Linked DNA regions of Macaca fascicularis. The protein of the gene in region 4 interacts with the protein of the main gene of each other region in a pairwise test. Links are inferred from orthologs where the notes say so. Each region holds a gene or a part of one and is shown on either strand. Other genes may lie near its edges. The genes, in order: NR4A1, SCAND1, MEOX2 and PGBD1.

The links.
Region 1: the proteins of PGBD1 (region 4) and NR4A1 interact in binary tests that used the Homo sapiens proteins (3 or more experiments, as listed by UniProt). The two-hybrid records come from large-scale screens. The link is inferred for Macaca fascicularis from reciprocal best matches to the Homo sapiens genes PGBD1 and NR4A1.
Region 2: the proteins of PGBD1 (region 4) and SCAND1 interact in binary tests that used the Homo sapiens proteins (3 or more experiments, as listed by UniProt). The two-hybrid records come from large-scale screens. The link is inferred for Macaca fascicularis from reciprocal best matches to the Homo sapiens genes PGBD1 and SCAND1.
Region 3: the proteins of PGBD1 (region 4) and MEOX2 interact in binary tests that used the Homo sapiens proteins (3 or more experiments, as listed by UniProt). The two-hybrid records come from large-scale screens. The link is inferred for Macaca fascicularis from reciprocal best matches to the Homo sapiens genes PGBD1 and MEOX2.

What each region holds. Positions count from the first base shown.
Region 1 is NC_088385.1:58,869,768-58,877,838, reverse strand, and holds the start of NR4A1 (nuclear receptor subfamily 4immunitygroup A member 1), read right to left. Parts: upstream 4,374-8,071; 5' UTR 4,167-4,373; coding exon 4,073-4,166; intron 1-4,072. UniProt on the Homo sapiens protein: Orphan nuclear receptor. Binds the NGFI-B response element (NBRE) 5'-AAAGGTCA-3'. Binds 9-cis-retinoic acid outside of its ligand-binding (NR LBD) domain.
Region 2 is NC_088384.1:92,036,468-92,043,018, forward strand, and holds SCAND1 (SCAN domain-containing protein 1), read right to left. Parts: upstream 2,774-6,551; 5' UTR 2,718-2,773; exon of another isoform or gene 2,656-2,717; intron 2,610-2,655; 5' UTR 2,555-2,609; coding exon 2,015-2,554; 3' UTR 1,894-2,014; downstream 1-1,893. Other genes in the region: CNBD2 (cyclic nucleotide-binding domain-containing protein 2), read left to right, coding at 2,851-2,976, 6,007-6,057. UniProt on the Homo sapiens protein: May regulate transcriptional activity.
Region 3 is NC_088377.1:114,504,744-114,512,880, reverse strand, and holds the start of MEOX2 (homeobox protein MOX-2), read right to left. Parts: upstream 5,409-8,137; 5' UTR 5,130-5,408; coding exon 4,616-5,129; exon of another isoform or gene 4,569-4,615; intron 1-4,568. UniProt on the Homo sapiens protein: Mesodermal transcription factor that plays a key role in somitogenesis and somitogenesis and limb muscle differentiation. Required during limb development for normal appendicular muscle formation and for the normal regulation of myogenic genes.
Region 4 is NC_088378.1:144,897,770-144,905,885, reverse strand, and holds the start of PGBD1 (piggyBac transposable element-derived protein 1), read left to right. Parts: upstream 1-3,692; 5' UTR 3,693-4,112; intron 4,113-5,949; exon of another isoform or gene 5,950-5,969; 5' UTR 5,970-6,008; coding exon 6,009-6,404; intron 6,405-7,751; coding exon 7,752-7,908; intron 7,909-8,116.

The DNA.
Region 1 (8,071 bases), on a different chromosome or scaffold from region 4:
AAATTAACAATCACAGGGTTATCAGCAGGCTTTTAAAACAGTTTTTTTTTTTTTTTTTTGAGACGGAGTCTCGCTTTGTCGCCCAGGCTGGAGTGCGGTGGCACCATCTTGGCTCACTGCAAGCTCCGCCTCCCGGGTTCACACCATTCTCCTGCCTCAGCCTCCGAGTAGCTGGGACTACAGGCGCCCGCCACCTCGCCCGGCTAATTTTTTGTATTTTTAGTAGAGATGGGGTTTCACCGTATTAGCCAGGATGGTCTCAATCTCCTGACCTCGTGATCTGCCCACCTCGGCCTCCCAAAGTGCTGGGATTACAGGCGTGAGCCACTGCGCCCGGCTAAAAAAAGTTAATGTGTAAAAGACTTAGGACAGTGCTAGATACACATATCTGCTACATGTCATTATTAGGAGAAGTTCAATGAGGACACACACATAAAAGCTAGCCACAGACCCTGGTTCCTAGTCCAAGGCACCCTGGGCACCTGGCCTCTCCTTCCAGGGTGGAAGCCAACTATGTGCCTCACCCCACACCCCAGCCTCTTCAGCTCTCCCCTAACCCCGTTCAGCTAGGGTACCTTGACCCACATCTCTCCTTCTCTTCCTCCACCCACTCCAGTGCTCTCTCCTCTCGACTACGCTCCAGAGTGAGGGCAGGACCAGGCCTTCACTGGCTATTGGACTGCCCTTAAGACCGATGAGGTCTGGGAAAAGAGAAGGAGATGATGGGAGCTAGGAGGGACAAAGAGGAGGAGGACCCCAGAGGGTGGGCAATGGGCTTCCTCGTCCTCCTGACCTCTGCCCAAGGTCTACAGGCCAAGGGGAGGACCTCTGGCCCACAGTACCCAGGCTCTCCCCTTACGACATTACCAGCACCCCTCCCTCCCGATCCTGTGGGTATGATGGGGAGCAGGAAAAGGCCACAGGAGAGGAGGGAAGGGAGGGCAGACTGGAACATCTGGAGCATCTTTAACCCTAAACAGAAAGCAAGACGAGGCTTCCAATCTGCCCCAGCCCATGGACTACACCTGCTTTCCAGGATGACAGTGTCATCCTCCCATCCCCTGGAAACTGGTCTATAATTTCCCCCAGCCTTGTCTTTTCTCCCTACCAGCCCACTGCTGAGAAGGAAGGGTAGGGAGGGCCAAATACCACCTACCATAATCAGGCCCAACCTGAGCACCCAGCTCTTCCCCATCTGGTTCTCAGAACAGGGGCCAGAGTCTGGCACCTGGTGGTGCCCACAAATGATTTTAGCATCTTCAAGCAGGTATCTGTTTCCCTGCCTGCTCCAGATCAAAATGCCCCCCTCAATAGTCACACCACAAGCATTTACTGAGGACCCCCTGGAAGCTAGGCAGCGTGCCCCGAACCACAGGAGAGCCAAGAATGAGCACACCAAGATCCCAGAGCCCCAGGATCTGATAAGGGATGAACCAAGGTCAAGGACAATCTGCACTGGGCAGAGGGCAAACCAAAGGCTGAGTGGGCTTGGCGGAGAAAGTGACCCCCAAAATGGGGTGGACCATCAGGCCAGATTTCAGTCCCCAGTTCCTGCTCCCCACCAACCTCATTTCCCAGCCACTCGCTGTGGTCCCGTCACATGGGCCTTCTCTCCCCACTCAGGGCCTCTGCATCCACCGTTCCCTCTGCCCAGAACTGGCTCTTCCTGATCAACCAGGTTTCCATTCCCATGTCACCTCCCTGAACAGCTTGTACCCCCACCCCACCACACTAGCCTGATTTTTATTCATCAGAGGTCTAATGTTCACATCTGTTCACTGGTTTATTACCTGTCTACCCAACCAGAATGTAAGGATGCTGTCCATCAGAATCACTGCAGAATCTGCAGTCTCTAAACTCTGCTCAGCACTGGCAGGTGCTCAGTAAGTGTGCGTGGAAAGGTGGGGGGTGCACATGCCTGCATTGGAGCTGTGCTGGGAGGAAGGTCAGCTAGGTGGGGACAGCATTCCAGCTCAAGAGCTGTCCCTTCCATTTGGGGGCAGATCCAAGAGCCAGAGCGTTCTTCCTTATGTTGAATCACATCCCTGACTCTAAAAGTCCCTGGATCCCTGCTCTGTCCCCTGCACTGGCCCACAGGAAGCCTCATTCTAGTCCTTCCTAGCAAGTATTTTAGTCTTTTCTTAACTAAACTGCTCCTTGCAACAGGACACCACTGACAGGCCCTCTGCCTGACAGGCCCTGGTGGCCTCCTGAGTACAAGTTCTACATTGGCCAATATCCCTACCCAGAAATGGGAATATTATTACTATTAGCAATAACAACAGCCGCTAATATTTGTTAAACAACATGTGCCAGATACATTAAGCACTTTACATGCATTTTCTCATTTCAGCCTCACAATGCTATGAAGAAGGGATTATTATTATAAACATTTTACCAATGAGGAAACTAAGGCCCAGAAAGAAATGTTAAGCAACTTGCCGAAGGTCACACAGCTAGGAATTGGCAAAACTGAGATTAGAACCCAGGGAGCCTAACCAAGGAGTCCAGAATCAGGCATTCTTGCTCCCCCTACCGCCCACTTGGACCTGTGTAGTGGATGGAGGCTTCACACTGCACAGAGCAGTCCCACAGCCTCCGTCCAGGGAACAGCTCAGAAGCTAAGGGCCTGGGTTCCTGGGCCTTTGAGCCAGGCACAGGGCCTGAACTCCTCAGCTGACTTTCTTAAGTCCAGCAGAGGCCTCAGCACAGGCCTCGTCAGTCACATTCACATTGTTAATCTCAGCCCATCCTTCTGCCCAGTTGCCTTCAATTAGAATCTTGATTTTATACTGTGCACTTGTCATTCCTCACAGCTCTGCATGACTACAAGGAGTCGGCTGACTTCCTTTTTAAGTCTTCATCCAAGTCACCGATCTTAAACGTTCACTTGGAGTAGGTCTAGGAGCAAGTCTTGTAGCCCCACCACTAGGGCTCCAGGCCAGGCTGACAACAGCCCCCAAATCCATCAGCACCCACTGGGCATAACTGTTGTGAAACCGACCTCTGCTCAGCCTGCGTTTTCCCAATGTGCCGCTAATACTAGCCCCACATCCAAATTAACAATTCACTGTAAACCACCTCTGTAGCGTTTCCCCTATCCACCAGGTCATCTATCAAAAACGAAGGCATAAAAACGATATGAGCCTGCCAGGCGCGGTGGCTCACGCCTGTAATCTCAGCACTTTGGGAGGCCGAGGCGGGCGGATCACAAGGTCAGCAGTTCGAGACCAGTCTAGCCAATATGGTGAAACCCTGTCTCTACTAAAAATACAAAAATTAGCCAGGCGTGGTGGCGGGCGCCTGTAGTCCCAGCTACTGGGGAGGCTGAGGCAGGAGACTCACTTGAACCCGGGAGATGGAGGTTGCAGTGAGCCGAGATCACGCCACTGCACTCCAGCCTGGGCAACAGAGCGAGACTTCATTTCAAAAAAAAAAAGGGGGGAGGTAGGTTGTGGAGGGGAATGAGCCAAGTCAGGGAACTGTGTCCTGTCCTCAACACAGACCACCATGGTAAGGAGGTCTGGAAATACCGCGCCCCCACCCCTCCCAATACAAGGAGGGAAGATGTTGCGGCAAAAAAACAAAACAACCACCAAAAAAACACGCCTGGGAGACACAAGCCCCAAGTCCTAATCCCCAGCTCCGCCTGATTCCACGAGACCCCTAGCTTTGGTTTCTTGACTCAGTCCCGTGAAGGGGTTGCATCGCGCAGCATCCGTCCCTCCCGGCTGGGTCTCCTGGTAGACTCCTGGAAGCTCCCGCGCTCCTGGAACCGGTTCCCGCAGCCGGCGGGGAAATGGAAGGAATTTCTCTGGCCTGGCCACCTCCAGCGCCCCTCGTGGGCCAAACCCCACCCTTGGCGGGCTGGGGAGAGAAAGCCTTGGCCGTCGCCCTTGGGGACTGACTCTGAGCCAGCAAGTTCCGCTGGGAATCCAGTCCCTCCCCCGACTCCCCAGTTTCCAAGCGGGACTCCGGCGTGGCCCTGAGCCCGCCCCAAGGCATCCACTAAAGACCCGAGATTGCCCAGCCTTTCTGGGGCCCACCTCCCGCCACACCGGCAGCCCCTCACCTGGCCCCGCGGGCTCCTCTAGCCTCTCCACTCCTGCTTTCCGGGGTCGCGCACCAGCAGGCCCTGAGCTGCTCTGCGCCGCAGGGGCGCCCATGCCTGGAGGCCGGGGGTCGCGGGCGCCGCGCTGGGACCCCGCCAGTTCCGCCGCCGCCGCCGCCTCGCGCTCTTGCAGCCGCGCCGCCGCCGCTCGGCGCCCCCCGCCCCCAGGAAGCCCCCCGCCCGCAGTTCCGGCCTCGCCGCGCCCCCCTCCCCCGCGCCCGCGGCCGCCCGCGCGCTGTCCCAGCCCCGGCGCGCCTCCCCCGGCGGGCGGGGCGGGGACCGTGACGCGTGCCCATTGACGTCTCCGGAATCCCGGCGGCGGCGGCCGACGCAGCCTCATCAATGGGGCTAAAAATAGCTGCGCCCGGAATAGCCGCGAGCGCCCCGCCCCGCGGCTCCCCCTACTCCGCACACCCGGTTACATAACCAGCGGCCAGAGCCGGGGAGCTGGTTCTCAGGTGAGGGTGCCGAGGCCTCGCTCACACCTCCCGAGGCGGCGCACCTGGGGCTAGGTTATAAATAAACTTACCCGGGGCTTCCCCAGGAAGAGGTGGAAAGAGAGAGGCCCAGAGAGACTCGGTGGCGGCCGAAAGTCACACAGCGATTCGGCTACTGGCGAAGGCAGGGCCTGGCCTTTTGAGTCTGCGGGCGCCCTGCCTGCATCGCTTGGCATTCATGCCATCCCAAGGGCAACGAACCCAGGTAGTAGAGTACCCAGCTTCCACACGAGAAGGCAGCTTACAGAAAAATAGGACTTCCTCCTGAAGAGGGCACTGCCCGAGGTGGTGGTGCAGGCCCCGGCAAAGCCCAGATGATGGATTCACTGACCTGGCTGCTCCCATACCGCTGTGTGACCTAGGGCAATCACTTGACCTCTCTGAGCCTCAGCTTCATCATCTCTAAAACAAAGATGATATGATCAGATTATCCACCCTATCTGGCTGTCAGGATGATAACAGCTGTGGAGGTGCCTTGTACACAGTAGACCCTGAGGGTTAGTTCTCCCTGCTCTCCCCAATCCACAGGAGTGTTTAATGCATTCAGAGACCCACCACCGTGGCCAGGAAGCCCTGGAAGGCCCACCCTCCTCTGACCGGAGTCTCCAGGCCCAGGCTTCCACGGTAAGAATCTTCCTGGGGGTGCAGGCACTTGGAAGGTTTCTCTCTCCCATGTGACTGGAGCCTTCTTTGGAAATGGGAGAATCATCCTGTCCTGAGCAAATCCTTCTCCCCCATCAGCTGCCCACTCAGGAAAGGCTGGTCAGGAAGGCCAGCTCAAGGTTGGAGCAATGGTGTTGGGGCTGGCTGGGTGGGTGGGGTTTGGGGTTACCATCTCTGTTCCTATACCTCCATACAGGCAAGGTCACTGGGGAACACCCATTAGGGAGGATGCAGTCATGTGCTCTGCTGTGCCAGCCACTAGTCACTGCTCCCTTTTGGAGCCACCTTAAATTATGAGCATGCTATACAATCTCCAGCACCCAGGCCAGGCCCCACGCAGCAAAGAATCTCTTCTGTGCTCAAAATTCTCCAAAAGAGGCCCCACACCTCCACTCAGCCCTCATTCCAGGGGCTGCATTCCTCTCTCCACCCCGCTGCCCACCCCCAGAAATCCTTTGCTGGACCAATCCTAAACTCTTGGTGAAACTCGGAATTCCCTTTCTCTCATTCTTCATAATGATCCCAAGAACCTCTGGTTTGTCTCAAAATCACCTCCCAAGAACCTGTACATTTCTCTCCCAGGTTCAAGTATTAGGTCAATTTACAGATAAAGAAACTGAGGCTTCAAAAATGGCAAGGTGTCAGGGTGGGGGAAAGGGACAGGCTTTTCCTCACTCACCCTGTGTCCTCCTCTTTCCTACCCCAGCAGCTCCTTTCCGATGGGCTTCTTAGAGGAGCAGCTACCCCACCCCCTCTTTTCCTTTCTTTTTCCAGAAGTCTAACTTTTGAAATACATTTTAAAATATTTGCCTGTGTGGGAGAAATACATTTATTTAGACAGGAAGGGAAAAAAAGGGCTCAGTTACCAGTTTTTCCATGAAGGCTTCCAGCCCACAGAGGTCTCTCCTTTCCATAAATACTTTCAGCATAACTTGTCTTTATTATATATTCTCCTATTTATAATCAAATAAAACATATTCTAAAATGTGGAATGCCAGAACACGCACACTTAGGGTGGCATGTGGAGGCGGCGTGAGATGGTGGAAGAAGCAGTCTCTAGAGGTCTGGGATGGACACTGGTTGTCAGAGAACTGAACAGCTGTGGAGGTGCCTCGTACACAGCAGGCACTCAGAGTTAGTTCTCCTCCCTGCTCTGCCCTAGGAATGTGATTTCCCACAAGAGGCTCTATCTCTTAGCAGCTGTGTGGCTTCAGGGAAGTTACTTGCCCTCTCTGGGCTTCAGTTTTCTCACCTCAAACACAAAGATAAGAAACCTATCTCACAGGGTTGCCATGAGAGTGTCTCTTTGATAGCAGACATAAAGCATGGAGTCTGGCACATCGTGGCAGATCTACCATTTCCATACAGGAGGACTTGGAGGACTTGGGACCTTGTCTTAAAGCTGTACATCCAAGGTGCTTACCCTAGCTTTGCTCAGCTGGTATGTTTATTGGGAATACTGGGGGTCTTGGGGGTTGCACAGATAGGAGCAATGTCACCTCTTAGTCATTACAAGTGTCCAGTAAACATCAGCCCCATTGTTGTCTCCCTGATCCAGGTCACTTGGCTAAGGAGTGGCCCAGCCAGAACCATAGCCCTGGTCTTCTGTCTCCATAGCCCAGGTCTTCTGACTCCCAGGCCAGTGCTCTTTCTACCCAGCCTCTTGTTCCTTCATATCTGATTCCTCTTTTTTCTACAGGCACTGCTTCACAGCCCCTATTGCAGATAGGAAAGGTGAGGAGAGAAAAGGTGAACAACGTGCATGGCCCAGGGAGTTGGAGCAGAGGGGAGACAGGCCCCACGGCCAGTGACGCCCCACATTGTGGGAGGTTCCTAGAGGACAAGCTCCTACGCAGAAAGCTGACTCCTAGTCTGATGGGGTGGCAGGACACAAGAATAGGTATGGAAACATTGCCAGGACATCCAAGAAGTGGCCTCCAAGAAGCCTTGAGCTGGCATTGGAGTGGAATCTAGAGGACTAATCTCAGAGGCCTCCCTGGAGGAAGAGAATGTAGGGCCCAGTGTGAAAGAAGAGACAGGACCAGGCAGGGTATAGGGAAAAGGCACTCCATGGAGGACAGAGGCTGCCCCCAAAGCTTAGGTATGCAGCAGGGCACGGCTGAGATCCTGAGGGTGGGAAGCAGTGGGCCAAGGTGAGTCACAGGACGCAGGACCATCAGCCAGACTCTCAGTGGCCCTCCCCAGGTGCCCTTCCATCTCACAGCATCTGAAATCCCACCCCACCTAGGAGACACCCTTCCACTCTACCTCCACCCTGGCCCTCTGAGGCGGGGGTAAAAGGATGTCCCTAGGGCATTTAGACCAAGAAGGGGCTCCCCTGCTCAGGTCCTAGCCCTGAATAAGGAGAGGGGCTATGGAAGGGATTCCCTTCATGGTTTCCTTCCTCTTCTTGAGGATCAAGAACTACCTGGCCGGGGTCCTCCGACCTCTCCCCATGCTTAAGAGCAATTCAAGGGCCAAAAAAATAGACACAGAAACGTGTTTTCCTGGGGCTGTCTCAGGGTTCAAGGGCTGTCCAGACACCGCCCAGATGGGGTTACACTCTCCAGACTGCATAAGGACGAGGAGACCCCACTTTGTGTTTTCGAAGCACTGCCACATTTGCTCTACTTAGTTGCCATGGAAGGCGTCAGGGCCCCAAAAGAAGGTGGCAGAGGTCTCCAGACCGGAAATGGCAGAGCTAGAATTAATGCGAGATTTCCCCTAATCGACGCCAGGGCTCTTAAAAATCCTCTGCAATTTTATTTGTTAAATTACAAAATCAAACATGCTCGTGGTA
Region 2 (6,551 bases), on a different chromosome or scaffold from region 4:
GTTCAAACAATTCTCCTGCCTCAGCCTCCCGAGTAGCTAGAATTACAGGTGCCCACAACCATGCAAAGCTAATTCTTGTATTTTTAGTAGGGACATGGTTTCACCATGATGGCCACGCTGGTCTCAAACTCCTGACCTTGTGATCTGCTCACCTCGGTCTCCCAAAGTGCTGGGATTACAGGTGTGAGCCACCACGCCCAGCCTATTATATATTTTTACTGAAACTTTTCTATGTAGATGCACAAATACCATTGTTACAACTGCCTATAGTATTCAGTACAGTCACATGCTGTACAGGCTTGTAGCCTAGGAGCAGCAGGCTCTATCACAATGCCTAGGTGTGTATAAGTTATACCGTCTAGTTTACATAAGTGCACTCTATGAGGCTCACACAGTAAAACTGCCTAAGGGCTCATCTTTCAGAAGGTATCCCCATTAAGGGACGCATGACTGTATAAAGTTCTTCACCTTTTTTTTTTTTTTTGAGATGGAGTTTCACTCTTGTTGCCCAGGCTGGAGTGCAATGGCACAATCACCGCTCACTGCAACCTCCGCCTCCCGGTTTCAAGCGATTCTGCCCCAGCCTCCCAAGTAGCTGGGATTATAGGCGTGCACCACCATGCTCAGCTAATTTTGTATTTTTAGTAGAGATGGGGGTTTCACCATGTTGTCAGGCTGGTCTCAAGCTCCTGACCTCAAGTGATCCGCCCGCCTCGGCCTCCCAAAGTGCTGGGATTACAGGCATGTGCCACTACACCCAGATAATTTTGTATTTTTAGTAGAGATGGGGGTTTCACTGTTGGTCAAGCTGGTCTCGAACTCCTGACCTCAAGTGATCCACCGCCTCTGCCTTCCACAGTGCTGGGATTACAGGCGTGAGCCACTGCACTTGTCCTTCACCTATCCTTAATCTTCTTTAAACATTACCTTTTAAAGAAGCCTGTTCTTACCTTCTAAACAACTATCTTTTTCCAGGGAGGCAGGTGCAAACTCTGCCAAGAAATCCCAAGAATGCAAAGATACTTCTCAATTTGTCTTTAATATTCAAAAGCAAAATGCCCCTCACCAACTTCCCAGCCCAGTCTCACTCATGCTTTCTGGTGTAAACTGCGGGCTGATTTTGATTGTTGAGAGCAGTGCAAGGAAGACAAGTCTGGCCTTCCTTATATTAACAAATGGCACTCACTGCAATAGGACCCATCTGGGACCAATCCAAGCTGTCCATGGACCCCAACTAGCTCCTTCCTGGTTGGGCAGAAGCCTCTGCAAACAGTAGGTTTAAGATTTCAGAACAGGTCCTCATTATTTGCCAAATTCTTTCTTCCCTTTGTAAACAGTTATGCTAGTTTAACCAAAAGGGAGCCTGCATTAAAATGAGTAGCTTCCGTAATGTAAATAATCCATTATTTCAACTAGTTCTGCTTAATTCCTACCACAGGCCTAAAATTTGGCAAGGAAGTTGAGCAAGTCTGGTGGCATAAGCCAGAGCTCACAGGAACTAGCCTATCTCTGTGAAGGTTTGCAGTAAACACTTCACATTAAAATGGCTCAGTAACTTGGACATTTTGGGAAGCCTGTACCCAAAGGGCAGGTGCAAGTTGGTGCTCATATTGGTATAGAGGTAGCCAGTCAAGTAAGCATTTAATAAAGCCAGCTATTTTGCGTGTAAGAAACCCAAGTGGGTCCTTGGGATCTCAGGTGAAAAACTTCCCATATGTGGTAGAGGGGATAACCCAGTTTCAGACAACATCGAAAGATCCCACTATAGCCAACGAAGGCCTTATTGTTAGGGACTCCCAACTTCGTTTCGGCACCAGCCAGAAAGGCGGTGGTAAATAGGCTTGGTAAAATAAACCCAATAAAGAACGAATGAAAGAGACACACCAGACCACAGGCGCTGCCAAAACTCATTTTTCATTAACATGGAGTGGGCTCCTAGGCTCAGGTCTCCGGACCCGATCATGGCCCCAGTCTACACAGAGCGCCCGGCCCTGGCCGCCCGCAGTTCCACCGCTCAACCAGTGATGCGCACATCCGTGCGGCGACGGACCCGCCGGGCCCGAGCCGCCTCGGGCAGGATGGCGAGCAGCTGCTCTTGCACCAGCATCTCCACGATCTGCTCCTTGGTGCGGATGTCAGGCCGCAGCCACTGGCGGGACAGCTCCCGCAGCTGCCGGAAAGCCTCCCGGGGACCCGCCGCGTCCTGGTAGCGGAACTGCCGGAAACGCTGGCGGAACGTCTCGGGGCCGAGTCTAGAACCGGCGGGGCCTGGTGGGGAGCGCGTTTCGGCTTCGACCTGAGGCGCGATGCTCACGGGTGCTGGCCCAAGGGGCAACTCCCGGGACGCGGAGGCCGCAGCCCGGGGCGTAGGGATGGCTTCGGGGACCGCGGCGTTGGGGCTGGAGGGCTCCGGGGCAGGCGGTGAGGCCTTCGGCAGCGAGGAGCCCACAGAGTTAAGCTCAGGGTCTGAGCTCGAACCTGCTCCTTCCGGTTTCTCCGGTGGCACCGCCGCGGGACTCCCAGTGGCCCCCAAGATCGGCTCCGTTGCCGCCATAACTCCAGCTCCGGGCGTCACTCTTTGTCCGGTAGCTGTGGGCTCAGCACTGCGTCTGCGCGCGGGCGGGGTGAGCAGGGAGACGTTTCCGGTTAAAGGGCAGAGCTCGCGCCACCCTTGAGGGAGGCGGACTCGGGACCGGCCGAGAGTGCGCGGAGCTTACCTGCACCAGCGAAGCGGCTGCGGCAGCCGGAAACGAAAAGTCTCTGGCTTCTCTGCGTCCAGGTCGGCGCGAGAGCCCCCGGAAGCCGCTTGCGGGCTCTCGGAAGCGGCGCCCTCTAGCGTTCTCGAGTCGCATGAGGCGGCGGCTGCCCTCGGAGTGCAGGAGGGCGAGCGGCGCGTGGCTTGGGCTCCTTCCGAATGGTGGCGCCTCTGAGCGCAAGTTCGAGGAGGAGTCGGAGGAGGAGCCTGAATGTTTCGAGGTGAACTTTTAAGTCCTGGAACTTATTCTTGAGCCGCTTCGGTTTGCAGGTGACCTTTCCGTGCGGGCGCCCCTCCTGATTGACCCTGATGGGCTGTAACTGTGACGGCCCCTCCTTCAGGAATGATTAGGGTGACAGCTGGCCGGGGCTTGTCCGGGTGGCGCCCGGCCTGTGACCCGAACAGGGGAGCGGGACGGCGGTCGTTCTCTCGGGAAGGGCCCGGCTGGAGAAAGTCCTCTCGCTTGGTCAAACTAGGAGGGCGATAGCACCCGCCTTACTGCGAGGATGACAAACTACAACACACCGTCTGGCGCGAAGGAAATGCTCGAGAACTCTTTGCTATTGTTATTTTTCGCGTGTCCTCCGAAACCAAGGGAAGGGAGGCTCTGTAGGTTCTGTTAACTTCAGGATTTAATAAGTGAATTGTAAATGCATTGCCCTTTATGGTGGCCGCTGGCCGCCTGAGTTGACTGAGCTCTTGCAACGGAGCTAGTTGATAACCCTCGAAATATAGCGAATTGAGATGTGCTATATTGTAAAATACGGGACTTAATACGAGAAAACTAATGTAAAATATCTCAATACTTTTTAATACTGATTACATGTTGTAATATGTTTTGCATATACTGGGTCAAATAAAATGTTATTAATTTCACCTGTGTTTTTACTTTTTAACTGCAGCTACTAAAAAACATTTAAATTGCATGTGCGGTTTACTTTATATTTCTGTTGAGCAGCCTTGGGTTAGAGGATTGGAGTGAGGCTGCCTTTTGCCTTGGTGGAATCCCCTTTGATGGTACCCACCTCAGAGTTGCTGGGAGGATTAAATAAGTTAAGCCCTTGGAGAGAAAGGGCTTTTAAGAAGTTTGCTTTTGTTTTTATTAGGTAAACTGCTTGCTATCTCTGAGCTACCGTTTTCTTAACAGTAAAATGTGGATGTAATAGAACTTACCTCTCAGAGGTCATTGAGAATTCAGTGAGATGATGCAGGTAAAAAGCATGTGGCCCTGACAGCCCTCGGCCAGGTGGTTTTCTGTCTGATAGCTGACTCACAAATAGTTGTTGTTGCTTTTTTCTTTTTTTTTGAGACTGAGTCCTCCACCTACCGGGTTCAAGTGATTCTCCTGCCTCAGCCTCCTGAGTAGCTGGGATTACAGGCGCCCACCACCACACCCGGCTAATATTTTGTATTTTTGGTAGAGATGGGGGTTCACCATGTTGGCCAGGCTGGTCTCGAACTCTTGACCTCAGGTGATTCACCCGCCTCAGCCTCCCAAAGTGCTGGGATTACAGGCGTGAGCCACCGCGCCTGGCCACAAATAGGGTTTGTATCCTCATTTTACAGAAGGGGAAACTGAGGCCCTGAAAGGACAGGGGCCTCATATGAAAGGTTTTGTATGACACTTGTAGTCCTTTTGAGCTCTGTGCAGGATGGAGGAGCATGTTTAACAACCATTAACACGCCGTTAGCCCTGATATAAAACTTGTCCCTACCATAGGATGTTTCCTTTGGATGGGTAGAAGTGGACCCTCATGAAATCATTACCATAGCCTGAAAACCTTGAAAGTCATTGCAATGGGCCTTTAATGCTTTTTAGTTGCTGACATGTGAAAATTGGGAGATTTCACATGCAAATCTGGATTTCTGGTTTTTCCTGAAAAAAATGGAAGAGCTGGCCACACTGGACCCAAATTCCTGCCAGTCAACAATCAACTGACACTGAGTAGAGACGACTTCCTTTAGACAAGATACTCTGTCCCATTTGGTCTCAATCTCCACCATTCCCTATGGTTCTCTGAAATAGAATGTTGTTTGCATTTACTGTTGCTCTCAGGTTGTTGCTTTATTTAGAGCTGATATTTTTCTCTATTCTATTCAGAGGTGAGAAAGCAGGGCCCTAGTGTTTGTTATGCCTACTGGCTTCAAACCTGGACTTCTGTCTGGCCCCTTGGTAGTTGGGTTTGCTGCATAGAGTGACCAACAGTGCTATTCCCTGTGTGGCAACAGGCACTCAGCTTCCAGGGCTAAAGGAGCACACTAAACCCTTCTGTGGAGGCAAGAGGTGCTAGAAGTCTTCACTGGGGAGGGGACTTCAAGCTGAGACGCAAGAAGAAAATGGGTGGGGCTCAGGGACATTCCAGGTAGAAGGTACTGCCTGTACAAAGGTACATAGTGAGTAGGAGCAAAACTGTAGAAACTGCAGGCTACATGGGAAGGTGGTTGCGATCTGGAGAAGGGGTGAGAGAGGTTGGAACACTGCTGGAGGTTAAATCATAAATGTCCTAGAATTCCATGTTTAAAATTTAGTTCTTCTCATGAAAGGGAATGAACTTTTGTGGCACCTGGAATATTATGAAATGTTATGTTAGATCTTTAGTTTATTTCTTCCATCCCTATTAAAATCGTGAATTATTAGAGAAGGAGGGACCTGAGAGATCTATTAGAATCATTGAATGTTAGACTGGAAGGGGCCTTAGAAATTGAATTTTAAAATCCAGCCCTTTATGGGCCGGTAAGCCTGCTTTAAAGTGATTCAGCAGTAAATAATAAATAATGTGGAGGGAATAAATGAAACAAGATTGGCTCAGTAGTTGGCCAGGTGCAGTGGCTCATGGCTGCAATCCCAGCACTTTGGGAGGCCTAGGCAGGCGGATCACCTGAGCTCAGGAGTTCAAGACCAGCCTGGGCAACATGATGAAACCCCGTCTCTACTAAAAATACAAAAAATTAGCCAGGCTTGGTGGCTCATGCCTGTAATCTCAGCACTTTGGAAGGCTGAGGTGGGCGGATCACTTGAAAGATTGGCAATATGTACACTCTACTTTTGTATATGCTTGAAAATGTCCATGATAAAAGTTAAAACATTCAGATTCCCAGAGTCTAAAAAAAAAAAAAATGTAATGCTTCTTCTTCAAAAAGGGATACAGTTATCTACTTTCATGTGAGTTACATATATCCTTGAACCCTCCCAGGGGTCCCAGATTAAGTTAAAAATATACATTTATATTTCATTCTTTTGAATTTTGCAGATTGAGAGGCCAAGATGCCAGAAGATGGATTGGTCCAAAATAAGAAAGCTAGTAAGTGATTCCATGAGGACAGAAATCGTTTGACTTTTAGCCCAAATTCTTATCTTATTACGCCTTTTTATCCCTAGATTGGGTGTTCACTTGGGAAGGGATCATAACTCATTCATCTCATATCACTTAGCTTCCAATACAAGGCCTGACTCCTAGCCAGCCTCAGTGTTGGTTAAAGGAAAGAGGACAAATGTGGATTGCAGACTATCCCTGGGAAGGCAGAGCTCTCATATGAGTCCCAGACTCTTTCAGAGACCTCAGGCCTTGTGATGGCACTTTGTTGTTGAGGGTTGTGGAAAAGAAGCTTGGATACTTATTTTCTTCTTTATCAGAGCCGTCATACTGGAGAATACGTCTTTTAAAAAGCTTTTTATTGGCCGGGCGCGGTGGCTCAAGCCTGTAATCCCAGCACTTTGGGAGGCCGAGGCGGGCGGATCACAAGGTCAGGAGATCGAGACCACAGTGAAACCCCGTCTCTACTAAAAATACAAAAA
Region 3 (8,137 bases), on a different chromosome or scaffold from region 4:
TTTTCCCATTTGAAATGAAAATTTAAAAAGCCTTCACATTTGGTTTTATGTGTCAAGCTGCCATTATAAAAACACTAAATGAATAAAATTTCGCAAGCAAGGCAGCATTATCAGCCTAAGTACATGTAGTGGGCTTATATATGGTGACGTTTTACATAATTCAACTATTAATTCATCTACAGATTTACATTTCTTAAGTGCAAAAAAAAAAGCAATTATTTCATTACATACAGAATTGGCCTCCCAAATTTCCCAGAATCCAAGAGAAAGGATTGCTACTTTCTGATATTTCATTTTTGCTTAAAATTAAATTCTTAGGATGTTTAGAACTTATTATAAATATTACAAACTTAAATTCTAGGGTTATAATGAATGGTCTATGTTTTCAAACACAGAGGGAAAATGGGGTAATGGCTGAAGTACTGTTTTTTCAGTTTATTAGTAAAAATCAGCTTATAATATGTCAATGTAATGGTTTCTATTGATAATTACCGTAAACAAAGATTAAAATTTTAAATACTAAGTTCTGGATTTCGAAGCCCAGTGAAAGTTTGTGCAATACCATGACTTGCATTTATGATTTTTCTTTTAAAATGAACTATAAATGAAGAAATTTACACAGAAGTGGAAACTATTCCTACTTTTATTTGCATTCTTCCTTCCATTCATTGCTAACATTCAACAATAAAGCATTTTAATTCTAAAGGAATTGTTGCTTTTAACTTGAGTGTGATTATTTTAGATTGTATTTTAGAACACTCATGTAGGTCAATGATACTTAGAATTTTTTATGGCAGATTACCATTTTTAAATGTTCACACCCAAAATTAGTCTATGAGTCCAAGACAAAGAGTGAAAAACAAATCCATTTGATTTGTTCAATACTTCACTATAACCTTCAAGATCCAGTATATTATTTTTAAATTCTGAAGCAAATGCCGAAAAGCCACAATCCAGTAACACAGAAATGAAAAATAACACTATTTTATTCCTTTCAGAAAACACAATGATTGAAATGTCTTGGAAATATTACAGTGTAATACTGAATGAGGTTGAGAAGGTATTACTCTGAGTTTAACTTCCAGCTTATTAAATGTAATATTTGCTACTCATTCTGCATAGTCAAGCATATAGACAGACATAATTTGACAGCAAAGGCTTTATGATATAGTAGCTATAAATAAAATATTTGTAATTTTACAAGAATCTAATATGATTCAAAACCTAGTTAAATCTACCTCCCCAAATCGCTCTTTTCTTTTTTGATATAATTTTTATTTTTTATAAAATATGTATTCATAAATTTGAATAGAAAATATCTAGATATGTACACTGTATAATGCATGCACAAAAGCTAAAGTTAGATCAATGAATTAATTTTAGTTACTTTAACTAAAAGTGGGCAGTTTATTCCTACTACTAGATTGCTCAAAGAGCAATCAAATGTAATTGAAACCAAGCAATTCACACTATTTATAGACATTTTTCAGAATCACCTGCTTTGTAGTGATTTTTTTCAGCACAGTTGTAAAGTTTTGATTTTTAAGAGTCCCTTTGAAGACGTGGCAGATGTTGGCTTTGCTAATAATGCTGGAAAGCGCAGCAGGTTCAAAGTTACAAAAATGTTTAACACATATAAAATATAACGGCGTGCTTTTCTATTAAATTTGGTTATTTTCAATTGTCAATAAACTTATGTAAAGGAAGCCTAAAGTCCATAAATATTTGCTTCCAAAACATGAAGCTGCTAGAGTTTATATATGTGTGTGTCCATGTGCATTTGTGGAGGGAAAATGCATAAAATATATACTATAGAAGCTTACATATTATAGTTTTAAATCATTACTATAAATTAAATAGTAAGGTTTATAAATATTTAAGCTGTTTTTCAATATTTTCTGGTGCTTAAAATTCTATTAGAATTTAACATGGTAATTAGCGCAAACACATACAATCTAGGTATTAGATGCAGGGATACAGAATTTTGGTTCTGACTTTACCCTGGATTTATGTACTAAATCTTCTCTCAACCATAAATGAAAAGTAATTATAAACTACCTACCAAAATACAGATGGTCTCACTATATAGGATGAGATTTTTATCTAACACAATTTTAAATTTCAGGAGTTCTGAAAGCACTTCAATTTTGTTTTTTACAAATAGTGAAATACTAAAATGTGCTATAAACAATGAGAGATATACGTATTAATAGCATACCAGGATCATAATCATTTTCAATGTTGCTTTAGTTTGTGCTGGATCAAGATGTCTATGAAATAAAATATCTTTGAAGATAACTTATGGAAAACCTAATGCAATTGTTACACGAGAAAGATATCTTTAATTTAAATCTATCTGAATATCTGACAAATATACCTCAAGCTGAAATTGGAAAATAAAATTTTATTTTCAATAAGTGTACATAGATTTAAACAGAAATTATTGGGATACTTCCTTTTAGTCAATATTTCTTCAAAATATCAAAGGAAAGAAAAGCTCGTCCTAAGTCCCCAGTATTTTTATCCTTGGTGATGACTAATTGTACTTTCCACTCAAGTTTTAATCTGTTAATAATTTATGCAGCTGACACAAACACTTATATTGGCTTGTTTTTCCAGTACCCTCATTATCAGCTTCAACATGTAGAAATGAACTTAATTTTGTTAAATGGTTATTTCCCACTAAGTTAGGAGGAGAGATAAACACGTTTTGTTAAATTATTCCACTTTAAAAAAATTATTAAAATAAATTAAGGGAATCAGTTACTGAATTCCACTTTCTTGGTTTCCCCCAAACAAAATAACATGTGCTTGTATGAAAATTCAGTTTGCCCTAAGAAACTTAAGAGCAATGGCTCAGTTCAGGAAGCATAAAGGACAATCTGTCATGTAGGTTACTCATTGCAAAAAATAAAATGAACAGTAAGAGCTTACGGGAATTGCAAGAGTACTCTCATCAACCTGAACTGGGATCTGCTTCCAAAGTGACACTGATATCAAATGTTCGGTTTATGAAATTGTCACTGCATTCTAAAATTGACTGTTTTTCTAATACAAATTGAAACCTTCTTGCTATGATTAACCATTCAACTCACTATCTAAAGAGACTTTCACTTATAGTTAGGAAAGTACATTAAATATCAGTGACACTACTGGTAATTTTCTTATAAAAACTAATTTGTGACAGAACATTAAAAGTTCACCCCCTGACCTTGGAAAATAAAAGTTAGCTTTTGAGACCATGACAGAAGAATCCATCCCATAGGATTGCTGAATAACAATTGATATTGCTGTGAAGGGTGAAGGAATATTAAATATGCGGTCAATCATTTTCATTTAGGTGGCATCTTACCTAAAGCTTTATACACGATAAACATTTGTCCAATACTTCAAACCAACATATGGGATTACCTTCTAGGACTATTATTAACCCAATTCCGCAGAGGAAGAAAAATATGCAAATGTTATATTAAACAAATGATATCTTCCAAAAATATGCAATCCAGGTTGCACTATAGCCACGAAAGAAAACTCACAAGTCTCTTAATTTTAAAGTATCTTTTAACAATTTTATGATAATACAGGTAGGTAAGAGCTTTGAAAAGTGGTCTGGAAAACTTTGAGTTTCTCTGGATTGCTACAGAAAAGTTACTCGGCAAGTGTGTCTTCAAGTACCAGAGGTCAGAAAGGTTTCCCTTTTCCGTGGCTGCTCAAATTATCCCCCACTAAAATCAGCGCCTCCTGCGCGCACCCTTACATACCACCTTCAGGCACGTAGCTAACTAACACTACCCGAGCTACTGTTGCTTCGCTGTATTTGTCTCTACTAATACCCACTTGGTAGAGGGATTTGTTTTCCACTTTTGAAACGTTGATTCTGTAATTAGCTTACACCACATGAACATGTACTATTAAGGTTCGTCTTTCTTCCAATGTGAGCATCTATTTATTTACAATTCTCTGACACATTCCTTAAAATCTGAATTCCTAGATAATGTCTTTTTCCCCAATAAAGGGAAAATTTTACCATTTGAAATAGGGTGCTATTTAAAGAACGCTGAAATAAGAATGTTAGAAAAAAAAAAAAAAAAACTAAAACTTTTTTTTTTCTCATGCGCTCTGCCAAGTTCCACTGCAAGTTCCAAATATTGTGCAATGATTTGGAAATCCAGTTAACGATGGGAAAAATCGAGCCACTCACAGTCGGGAACTTGCAAGAGAAAAGTCAAGAAGCGGCACCCGCACGCACGCCTGCCCAACCGACGCTGCATCTCTGGGCGCACGCCCCTCCCTCCCCAGCGCTGGGATGGAAGGTCACGCTTCGCAATCGATTTCACAGCCACTTGTCCTTTTTTATCAACCTTCTGGTAAACTAGTTTAGGACCTTGGAGAGCTTAGAGCTGCTGGCTGTATATGCATTGCTCTCGGATAAACACGTGTCCCCCAAATATCAGGACCAAAGCTTCACCGCCGAATTTGGCCGCGGGAAGCCACAAAGGGCAACACATTCCCATATTCCCCGCTGCCACCCTGTAGTGCGAGAATCTCCCCTGGCATCTCTCCGCCCCCTTTCCAGGCCGGCGCGCACTCTCGAGGGTGCCTGGTGCGCCCTTACCTGAGCTGTCGCTTTTCCTCTTGCCACCGCTTCGCTTCTCCGCCTCCGCAGGTGACAGTGCCTGGCGGCCGTAGTCCCCCGGCGCGCACGCGGCCCCAGTCGGGGTGCTGGAGCCCAAGCTGGAAGAGTTGGAACACAGGACCGGAGGGCTGCTCCCCAACTCTGGGGGCCCTCCGGAGTCGGGCTGGAGGCAGAGGCTGTGTCGAGCCGCACTCGGTGGGGAAGACATCTGCGGGAGGTGCCAGTTGGTTTGCAGAGCCTGGTGCTGCTGCTGCTGATGATGGTGATGGTGGTGGTGGTGGTGGTGGTGGTGCCCCCTGTGATGCTGGCTGGCAAACATGCCTTCTTCGTTGGGGTATCCCGCGATTATGCAAGATGAGGAAGAAGTAGAGAGCTCGGGGTAAGACATATGGTCAGATCTTCCATGGAGGGCGAGAGAAGATTGGGAGAACGGGTGCAAGCCTTGCGCCGTGGCGTGAGGGCTGCGCAGGCAGCCAAAGAGCGGGTGTTCCATAGCATGCAAGTTTCAGGTTCCAGGCAGAAGACTTCAGGACGGTTCCAAAGGTCACCACCCTCTGTCACTTTTCACTGGAAACCGTATGATTTTTTTTTACCCTCCCAAAGCAATAGCCGTGCACTTCTGCAGAGCTCGGATAATCCCGGTTCTGAGCCCCAGCGACCAGTCTCCTTTGCATATGAACAGTCGGACCTGGAAGAGCTTCCCTGAACTACTCAGATGTCAAGAGTGGGAGAGGTTGAAGCCAAAAGAAGGTGGTCCCAGAGAACTGCTTTCAGGGGGAAATGGCTCTGAGAGGTTATAAATAGAGTGTAACGTGAGCTGGGGGCCGGCTTAGGAGCCCAGAGTTGACCACATGCAAACTCCCTCCAAAACTCCCGCTCAGTTTGCGCCACGCGCTCCCCAGTTCCACTTCCTATCGCCTGCTGGACAGACGCAGAGCGTCCACGCCCGCCCAGCACTGCCGGCTGCCAGGGCTACAAGCGGCACGCCAGTGCCTAAGTCCCGCCCGGGAGGGCAGCAGCTCTGCCCTCCAGACTCTGGAGGCCTGGGCGCGGCGCACACCACCCCCAACCCAGCACCCTGATTCCTACCTACTCACTTTCCTCTCCGGGAATCGTGATTTGTCAGTGTCATTTGTGAACTGTCACCTGCAGAAAAGCTAGGGATATGCCTAGCCTTTCAGGAACCCAAAAGAAGTAATAGGGTTAAACGAAAAGATCAGAGCTAGTTAGGCGCATCCTCGAAGTTTTTCAAACTTCGCATCTTCCAGTGCCCTGGGCGCCGCAGCGCGCCTAGGTTTTCACAGCTGGTTTCTGTGGGTGGATTGTTAATGGGCTGGGACGCCAGATCTGAGGTTGTGGGGATGAGTACCATGGCCTGGAAAAGGCAGTTCTCAGTGCGGAACCAAGAGGGACCCGGTAGGGTGGGTGGGAGGAAGGCGTGAGTCTGAAAGGGTTGCAGATGCCTGTTCCCTGGCATCCTCTTGTGCGATGCCAGGTGGAGTCTCCCTTCCCCCTCTTTCCTGGTCCCGCTCAATTTCCTAGCCACTTGTCCACCAAGAAGAAATTTTCCTGGGTCAAAAATATTTCCAGGCGATTTTGTCCCGGTCACATGAGATGTGTAGATTGCACGCACATATCTAGCCTTTCCCCTCAGGAGCTAGCCTAGGTCTCCGCAGTTTCCTACAGAAATCCACTCTCTTCCCCTCAAAAATAAATCCGCTAATCGCATCCCTTATCACCACCGTCCCATTTACTGAGAAATCTTACATTTCGATAGCTCCCAAAATTCACTAAGCTTGGGCACTTGGCTATAACTTTGCATCCGTGAAAATAAATTAGAAAATTTGCCTCCAGTAAGCATGCAAGAACGATGGCAGGGCTTTGAGACTGCCACTTGTTTGGCGGGTGACAGGGTCCGCTGGGGGCAGAGTCGTTTACACACAAGTGAGTGGCTCTGTAATGAGCAGGAGAAACAGTCAAGTCCCATCTGGGACCTGTCGCATCAGGAGAATATCTGTAGTCACCTATTCCGCCCGGGGCCCCAAATGCACCACCAGCAGTGTCGCCCCGTTATTTTCATTGTCTCAGGTGTCCAGAGGATGATGAGCAGGTCTTTGAAGTTGTTAGTGGGATTAATGGGTACAGCAAACTGGGCTAGACATCTGGTTTGAATTAGGAAAAAGTATTGATTAATCTTTGAGAGGTGTCCCCAAAGCAGAACCTTCCCCCTCCTCTTCCAGTCCCCCTGCTTAAGCCTCACTATCTTCTTTTCTTGTAAGTCATGCTGTAGAATAGTGGCTTCTCAAAAACATCCGTGTGAAAGATCGAATTGTTTTCTATTGCTTAGAGGTGGGGTGGAGTGGGGGTTGATCAGGAATTCTGAGATTTGTAAGCGCTGCTTTCTTTAACGGAAATTGAGCTCTATTTTGAGGGAAATTAGTTTTGCAGACTTCGTTTAAAAAAAAAAAAAAAAACTAAAACTTTTGTTCACCAGCTGCTCAGCTTTTCAGTCTGGGTCTGAGCTGAAACCTGCTGCAAGTCTTTGACGGTAAGAATTTCTTTGCCGATACTTTGGGAATCTAATATTGTTTTAGACTTCGAAAGGGGGTGTTGTTCAGGTTGCACGTTTCTAGGGGCTTTAAGCACTAGCAGGATGGCGTCCAGGACTTAGATCTTAAGAATATTTCTTCCTGCCACTCCCCACGCCCTTGGCTCTTTAAGAATAAAAAGAGGTGGGGGAGTTATAGTCCTCTAATATCGTCGGAATATTTTTTGTATTTTCATTGTGTTTATGGTTTCAATATGTGCTCTGATATTAAAAGTTTAAGTACAAAGAGCAACACTAAACTTCCCCAACTTGTGTAGCTTCTCTATGGATTCTAGGTGAAAGCATTAAACGCTTTATTTAAAGTGAGATTTAGGCAACCACCTCAATAAGCCTAACCAGAAATATTTACATAATACAATGCTGTCAACTAAAGCATTGTGGAAAATGTCAGACAAGACAGACTAAAATTACACATGATCTGCAGACATCAGTCCAAAACATCCACAATGGTCCTTTTGGTTTGCATTACATTGGTTTAGAGGAAGCTAAGCAATTACCAAATGAATGGATTTGAATTTAACCAGAGTGTTGCAGGTAACTAGCAACAAGAACACACAAATCTTTCATCTCCCAGAGCTGCCACTTCTTCTTAAACCTGCCCAGTGACTGTGCTGGATTTTTTCTCACTCATTGTGTCAGATGTTAACAATCTGTCCAGAAGTTTCTCTACAACCTGCCCCAGTCAGTCAGCCTCTAGAACTTTTTCTAGAAGAAAAATTTAGGAAAGGTTAGAAAAGGAGGAAGTCATTGCAAAGGCATGCAATGAAAGCAAAGGTAGTAAGATAGGTCTTTTTAATTGGAGACGCAAAACATTTAATATCAACAAAAATTATGAAGTCCAGTTTTCTTATAGAAAACACAACATAAGGAAAATATTTGAAAGGAAAAAAATG
Region 4 (8,116 bases):
TATTGCAGCAATATTTTCTACTGATCAGGCTTTTCTGTTTGAGTAGTATCCTGTAATATCCAAATATACAGTGAAGTGGGAAGTCACTGTGTCTCCATTTCCCAGTCACTCACTTGTTTAAAAAACTGATAAAGTTACTATGTAGTTTGCCATTAAAAGTAGTATGGAAAAATAGGAAAGGGAAAAAATAACCCTAATTGTCTGTATTAATATCTTCATCAATTATTAATTTATACCTGATAGAAGTTCATATCCATTGTTTTAAAAACTTGAAAAATGTAAAGAAAGCAAATCATCTTGTTCATGGTACAGATATAACCTCTTAATGTAGATTTGTAGATAACTGGTCTTTTTCACATATAAACAATTGACTTTTCTCACTGGACTTTATGTCATGAACAATTTTTATGTGTAACAGACAGGATAGTCAATTTACCTATCCTCACACCCCATTCTAATCCACTCCTGCCATAATTCTGACTGTGCAGCCTGCCATATGACCTGTCCCCCACCACTGATGATTGGATCAGGAAGGGACCCTCAAGCCAGGCTTTAGATGCCCATAGGAATTTGACATTGGATCACAGATTCTGATTAATGTTTATTAGGCATATGAACCCAAAAGTAATATAGAGTTGGAGGCTAGGTGCAGTAGCTCATTCCTGTAATCCCAACACATTGAGAGGCCCAGATGGGAGGATCACTTGGACCCAGGAGTTGGAGACCAGCCTGGGCAACATGACGAAACCCCATCTCTACAAATAAGAAAAAAATTAGCTAGGTTGGTGGTGCACACCTGTAGTCCTAGCTACTTGGGAGGCAGAGATGGGAGGCTTATTCAAGTCCAGGAGGTCAAGGCTGCAGTGAACCATGATTGCACCACTGCAGTCTAGCCTGGGCAACAGAACAGGACCCTGTCTAAAATATACATAGAAAAATAGAGGACACAAGCACACACTGGAACAATTTTGGTGGCCACATAAAAACCAAACCAAATCGAGACAAACTGAGAAACAAAAAATGAAGCGGACTCCTGAAGTGGGAATCCCATGAATCAGGTGTGGCAACTTCAGCCCTCAGCCTCTGCAATCCATATATATCCTGGTCTTGGGAGTCCATAGAATACTGTTTCCTTCTAATAAAGGTTTCAAACAAATCCCTGATTAAGACATGCTAATCATTAAAAGTCTTCGTGGAAGGTAATTTTCCATATAAGCTGTGCAATATTCTATGGTATATGTCTCCAGTGTTAATCATTTACGTCATTTACACTTTGATCACCATAAACAATTTTTCAGTGAACATTCTTGGAAATACAACTTTGCCTACTTACAGAATTTTTTTCTTTGTTCAGTTGCCATAATGAGAATCAATGAGGCAGAAAGTAGGCATGTTTTCTAAGGCTTTTGATGTATTTGCCAGAATGCCCTCCAGAAAAGTTATACTAATTTGGATACCTTGTTAGCAGCCTGTGATAATGCCCAATTTTCTATACCCAAATAAACTCTGGGAATTATTCTTTTGAATATTTGACAACTGATACATACAAAATGGATTGCTTTTTTTAATAGACTACTTTTTAGAGCAGTTTTAAGTTCTCAGCAAAATTGAGAGAAAGATACAAAAATTTCTCATATACCCACTGCTCCCATTCAGGTATACCCTCCCCTATTATCAACATCCTGTCCCAGGGTGACATTTGTTACAATTGATGAACCTACATTGACATATTATCACCCAAAGACCACAGTTTACATTAGGGTTCACTCTTGGTATTGTACATTTTATGGGTCTGGACAAATACATAATAATGTGTCCACCATTGTAGTTTCATTGCCCTAAAAATCCTCTCTGTCTTACCTATTATGCATCCCTCCCTTTCTCCAGTCCCTAGCAACCACTGACCTTTCTACAGTCTTTATAGTGTTGCCTTTTCCAGGATGTCATGTATACAGGTGGAGTACCCCAATCTGAAAATCCAAAACACATTACAATGTGAAACTTTTCAGCACCAATATGATGCCACAAGTGCAAAATTTCACACCTGACCTCATGTGACAGGTCATAGACAAAATGCAGTCAAAACTGTTTCGGCCAGGCACAGCGGCTCAAGCCCGTAATTCCAGCACTTTGGGAGGCCAAGGCTCCTCACCTGAGGTCAGGTGTTTGAGACTAGCCTGGCCAACATGGCTAAACCCCATCTTTGCTAAAAATATAAAAATTAGCCGGGTGTGGTGGCACGCACCCGTAGTCCCAGCTGCTCGGGAGGCTGAGGCACGAGAATTGCTTGAACCCCGGAGGCGGAGATTGCGGTGAGTCAAAATTGTGCCTCTGCACTCCAGTCTGGGCAACAGAGCAAGACTCAATCTCAAAAAAAAGACTTTGTTTCATGTACAGAATTATTTAAACTGTATAAAATTAGCTCTATGTGAGTAAGGTATATATGAAACAAATGAATTTCATGTTTAGACTTGGGCCTCATCCCTAAGATATTTCATAATGTATGTATATATTCCAAAATCTGAAATTGGAAACACTTCTGGCCCCAAGCATTTCAGATAAGGGATACTCAACTTGTTGTTGAAATCGTACAATATGTAGCTTTTCAGATTGGATTCTTTCACTTTCTAGTATGCACTAAAATTTTCTCCATGTCTTTTCATGCCTCGATAGCTCATTTTTTTCATTTTTTTCTTGTTTTCTTTTTCTTTTTTCTTGTTTTCTTATAAACAGATGTTTATAGCAGCTTTATTCATAATTGCCAAAACTCAGTGGGTAAATGAATAAATAATGGGTCTGTTTTTAAAAGAGTGTTTTATATTTTTACTATTGAACATCTTTTCACATGTTAATTTGTCACTTACCTTGTTTTGTGTATAGTAACATTCATATCCTTTACTGATTTTTCTACTAAAGTCTCCTTTTACTCTTAAACAGAAGTGCCCTTAAAAATCAAATAGGGAACTTGCATATCAACATTTTAAATGCATATGTCCTTTGGCTGATCAGTTCTAATATGTGGCATTTATCCTAGAAATACATTCTTAAAAGAATGTAAAGGTATTGAATGATGTTCCCTCTAGCATGGCTTTTAAAGAAAAAATATAACCTAAGTATGCATCAATAGGATAGTTAAGTAAATTATGGAACACCCATACAATATTACTTAGCTGTTAAAGAATAAGCTGATCTGTGAAGATCTCCAAGCTGTCTTAACCGAAAAGAGCTAAGGTGCAAAATTACATTATGATACCATAAGTGTTTTTAAATGTATAAATGCTTATTCACTAAACAAAATGTTTATTACATGCTACTGTGTGACAGGTAGTGTCCTAGATAAATATGCACAAAATACAATGGTTAACTCTAAAGAGTGGGACATTTTTCGTTTTATGGTCCTTCTGCAACTTGACTTTTTTATTGTACGTATATTATGTATACTTAAAATAATTTGTACAGCTTACTATAATGGTCTTTTAATTGATCTGTTTCGCCTCCTAACCAGTGATGACCCCGAAGACAGACATTTACCACTCTGTTGGTTTTTTATTGAAATGATGTACATAAATGTGGGGCGTGCTTGCACCGTCCGGATGGGCCTGAGGTCCGGCAGCGGAGAGCGACCTGGGCGGGGCGGGAGGTGGCAGTGGGGGTCCTCCCGGATCACCAGAGAGACGAGCGGCCGTGCTCCTAGAGAGGCAAGGAACCCGCCAGACTCCGCCACTCGGCTGCGGGCGCGGCGAGTGGAGAAGCTTTTGTGCTGGCCCAGCTGCCGGAGGCGCCGGCGACACCCATCAGCCCCGCCAGCCCGCCAGTAGCACGGCTTGGGCTCTGGGGAAACCGGCGCTCTCGACTGGGCAGCCCCGGGCCTCTGCGCTCCCTCGGGAGCCTTTCACGAGGTCGGCTACGTCTTTGTTGTGCGCGTTCCTGAACTTTTGGTCCATTAACCAACAATTAGACACGCAGGTATTCAGTGCCTGGCGCGGTGCTAGATGCTGGGTGTAATCTCAGAAAAATACATTCTGGGGTGCGCCTGAGGGTGCTGGCTGCTGGCATCTCAGGTGCTTTACGTGCATTCGTGAAGAAGTCCATCAGTATTTGTTGAATACCAGGTACGTGCCGGGCTTGTAGAGTCTATGCAGAGATAAACTCCTGTCCTCAAGAACCCGGGTGGGGATGGGCTGGGTGATCTGTAATACGAGATGGAGGAGATGAAGGTTGGGAGCAGTTTTCCATGGGAACACCCATCTCTATCTGTGTGGCTTACTTTTCCTGTCTATATGTTAGGGTTAGGGGTGGCCAGGGAAGGTTTCACATAGAACATTTGCGCTGGCCCTTGGGATTTTACCCTTAGAAGGGGGGTCCTGACTGTATAGAGTGGGTGGAAAAAAAATTGAGTACTTAGCATGGCAGTGAGATAAGGAATTTGGGAAGACCATGGCTTTCTTGAAAGTAGGAACTAAGTCTTTTATTCCAGAGTTAGCTTTATGCCTGGAAAACAATGAGATGCTCCACAAATGTTTATTGAGTGACAAACAAATCAGCAAAATCCAGTAAAGATTAGATCCTGGAGAGTTTGAGTTTACTTCAACGAGTTTAATGAAAACTTTGTATGTGTTTATGTGTGTGTAAGGTATGTTGAATATGGTCAGAATTGTGCTTTAGGGAATATTAATCCAGTGACCATAGAAGCGGGGAATTGGGCAGGAATACCATAACATTATTGTGACAGTGAATGAAAATGATAGTAAAATAATAAGGAAAGAATGGCTGCAAGAGGCATTTTTAAGAATTGACTTGATTCACTGATTGTATATAGAGGCTGTTTAAAAGACTGAATGCATGGAAGATGATGGTGATGCCAGTAGAAATGGAGAAATACGGAGTGAATGCAGCTTTGAGGAACTCTGATCTTAGTTTGAGATCTGTTGAAATTATAGTGCAGGAGAAGCCCACAGCTGCTGGCATTTCAAGATGTGGGTTTGGAGTGCAAAAAGCAAGCTGGAGCCAAAGATTTGAGTCTTCTTGGGAACAGAGATATATTGAAAGTGTGACTAAGGAGATCACAAAGGAAAAAATGAAGAGAGGGAAGAAAAGAACTTGATGCATTTCTACTGTTTCAGTTATGTGTTGTTGCATCAAAAATCAAACTCTAAACTTAGTGGCTGAAAACAAGCTCAGCTTATTGTTCCTCAGGATTCTGCAGGTTGACTGGGTAGTTCTACTGGTCTCACCTGGAGTTACTAATAGAGCTGCATTCCGCTGGTGAATTATTTGAGCACTAGGCCCGGCTGGGTTTTAGCTTGGTCATTTTGGTTCTCATCCACATGACCTCTGTCTAGCTAGCTTGGGCCTCTCACAGCATGGCAGTCTTATGGCAGTGAACCAAGAGCTACAGCAGCACTCTCTCTCTTACAATGTCATTTCTGCCGTATTCCATTGGTCAAAGCAAGTCATAGGCCAGAACAGATTCAAGGGAAGGAAAAATAGACTCCACCCCTTGATGAGAACAGTGGCAAAATCTCATCACAAAAGGTATTTGAGGATGGGAGACTTTGGAAGCAGTCTATTACACCTACATTTAAAGCGGAATATTCAGTGAGAGTTACACAGATATAGATGACCTTTGAGACTGTATTATTTGCCCATGAAGGCAGCCATCTGCCTCCTCAATGGGTAAAATGATCCCTTCTCCCCAGCTAAAGTGCAAGCTTCTTGAGCATTCTTATTGCTAACGCTTCTTCCCTCATATCCTACATCCCTTACCTCTGGACTCAGACCCTTTAGTACTAGTTCAAAACATACTTCTGATTCATTTCACTGAGAAATAGAAGGAAGCAGGCTCAGCTTTTGAGCACTACCTACAGTGGGTACAAAAATATAAGTAGATTACATACAGTTTTGAAGGTCTTAGAATTTGTGTGTTGCTGATCAATTCTTATGCCTCAGATCTCTATTTCTGAACACAGACCCCCAAGCTAAGTGAAGCTTTAGCCTCTAAACTCAACATGTATGAAGCTTTGCCAGGCCCTGCTCCTGAAAATGAAGATGGCCTTGTGAAAGTGAAGGAGGAAGATCCCACCTGGGAGCAGGTGTGCAACTCACAGGAGAGCAGCTCCTACACTCAGGAGATTTACCGCCTGCGCTTTCGGCAGTTCTGCTACCAGGAGGCTCATGGACCCCGGGAAGCTCTGGCCCAACTCCGAGAACTTTGTCATCAATGGCTGAGACCCGAGATGCACACCAAGGAACAGATAATGGAACTGCTGGTGCTGGAGCAGTTCCTGACCATCCTGCCCAAGGAGCTCCAGCCCTGTGTGAAGACATATCTTCTGGAGAGTGGAGAGGAGGCAGTGACCGTGCTGGAGAATCTGGAGACAGGAAGTGGAGACACAGGACAACAGGTGGGAAGAAAATGTGTGTGGTGGTGCGGGAGAAGAACAGGGGGACATGTATCAGTTGATGTTTAGCTTTTTATTTTGAAATAACTTCTAATTTATAGAAGTATTAGAAGAATAAAGAACTCCTGTAAACTTCATCCAGATTTGCCAGTTAACATCTGTTTCATGAAGTCCCATTGTTGTGTACACACTTGTGCAAGGAAGTGCATCTCCCCCAATATGCATATGTACATGTATACACGCACATACATACATACACACATACAGTATTTTTTTTTTCCTCAAACCATTTGAGAGTTAGTTGCAAACACTATATCCCTTTACCTCACTGTTGCCCAGGCTGGAGTGCAGTGGTACAATCATAGCCTCATTGCGGTCTTGAACTGCAATGGTGGAAGGCTCAAGCAATCCTCCCGCCTCAGGCTCCTGAGTAGATGAGGCTACAGGTGTATGCCACCATGCCTGGCTAATTTATCTTTAATTTTTTGTAGAGGGGGTAGGGTCTTGCTGTATTGCCCAGGCTGATCTTGAACGCCTGGCCTCAAGTTATCATGCTGCCTTGGCCTCCCAAAGTGTTGAGATTACAGGCGTGAGCCACTGCACCCGGCCATTCAGTGTGGATTTCTGAAGAGTGAAGACATTCTGTTGTATAACCAGAATACAAAAATCAGGTTTAGGGAAATTAAAATTATGATACTGTCATATAACCTTAGTCTTTATTCATATTTTGCCATGTTATCCTAATAATGTTCTTTATGATAATTTTCCTCTGATTCAGGATACGAGCCAGCATCACATATTGCAGTTAGTTGCCATATCTCTAGTCTTTGTGAATCTGGAGTAGCTGCTGTCTTTCTTTGTCATGACATTGTTATTTTTGAATAGTACAGCTAGTTTTTTTGGAGAATATCCCTCAATTTGAGTTTGTCCTATAATTTCTCGTGGTCAGATTCAGGCTGCACATTTTGACTAGAATACCACAGAGGTAATGTTGTGTTCTCAGTGCATCACTTCAGGAGGTGCGTAGTGATGATTTGTCCCATTACTGATGAGGTTACAGTGGTACCTGTCAAATTTCTCCACTAGAAAGTTACCATTTCCCCCTATGTAATTACTAAGTAATCTGTGGGAGACATTTTGAGTTGGTGTACATATCTTGTTCCTCATTAAACTTTGACCAGCTAGTTTAAACATCCACTTGTTTGTTGTTTTTGTTTTTCTGGGCTGGAGTCCTTTGCCTATCTTTTCTGCTTTGTTTGCTGCTGTATCTTCAGCATATAGAACAGTGCCTGGCTCTTAGCATGCAGTCCATATATGCATGCCTTTTCAAAATAAATCTTTTGTTTCCAGGCCTCTGTCTATATTCAGGGACAGGACATGTGCCCAGTGGTGACAGAATATCAAGGAGTCTCTTTGGAATGTCCGAGCCTCCAGCTCCTGCCTGGGGTAACCACTCTGAAGTGTGAACCTCCACCGCTTCCTCAAGAGAACCCCCAAGAAGTGAGTGGTGAGTGCTAGAGTGAGTTTAGTGAGGACAATGGGAACTGGCCACTGACACTTGCACAGCCTTCTTGTCCTCAAGTTTGTATACATTGTGAAATGATTACCACAAGCTAACTTACGTATCTCACAGTTACCTTTTATGTGTCTGTGGTAAGAATTCCTAAGATCTACTCTCATGAAATTTCAAATATACAATACATTATTATTAACTA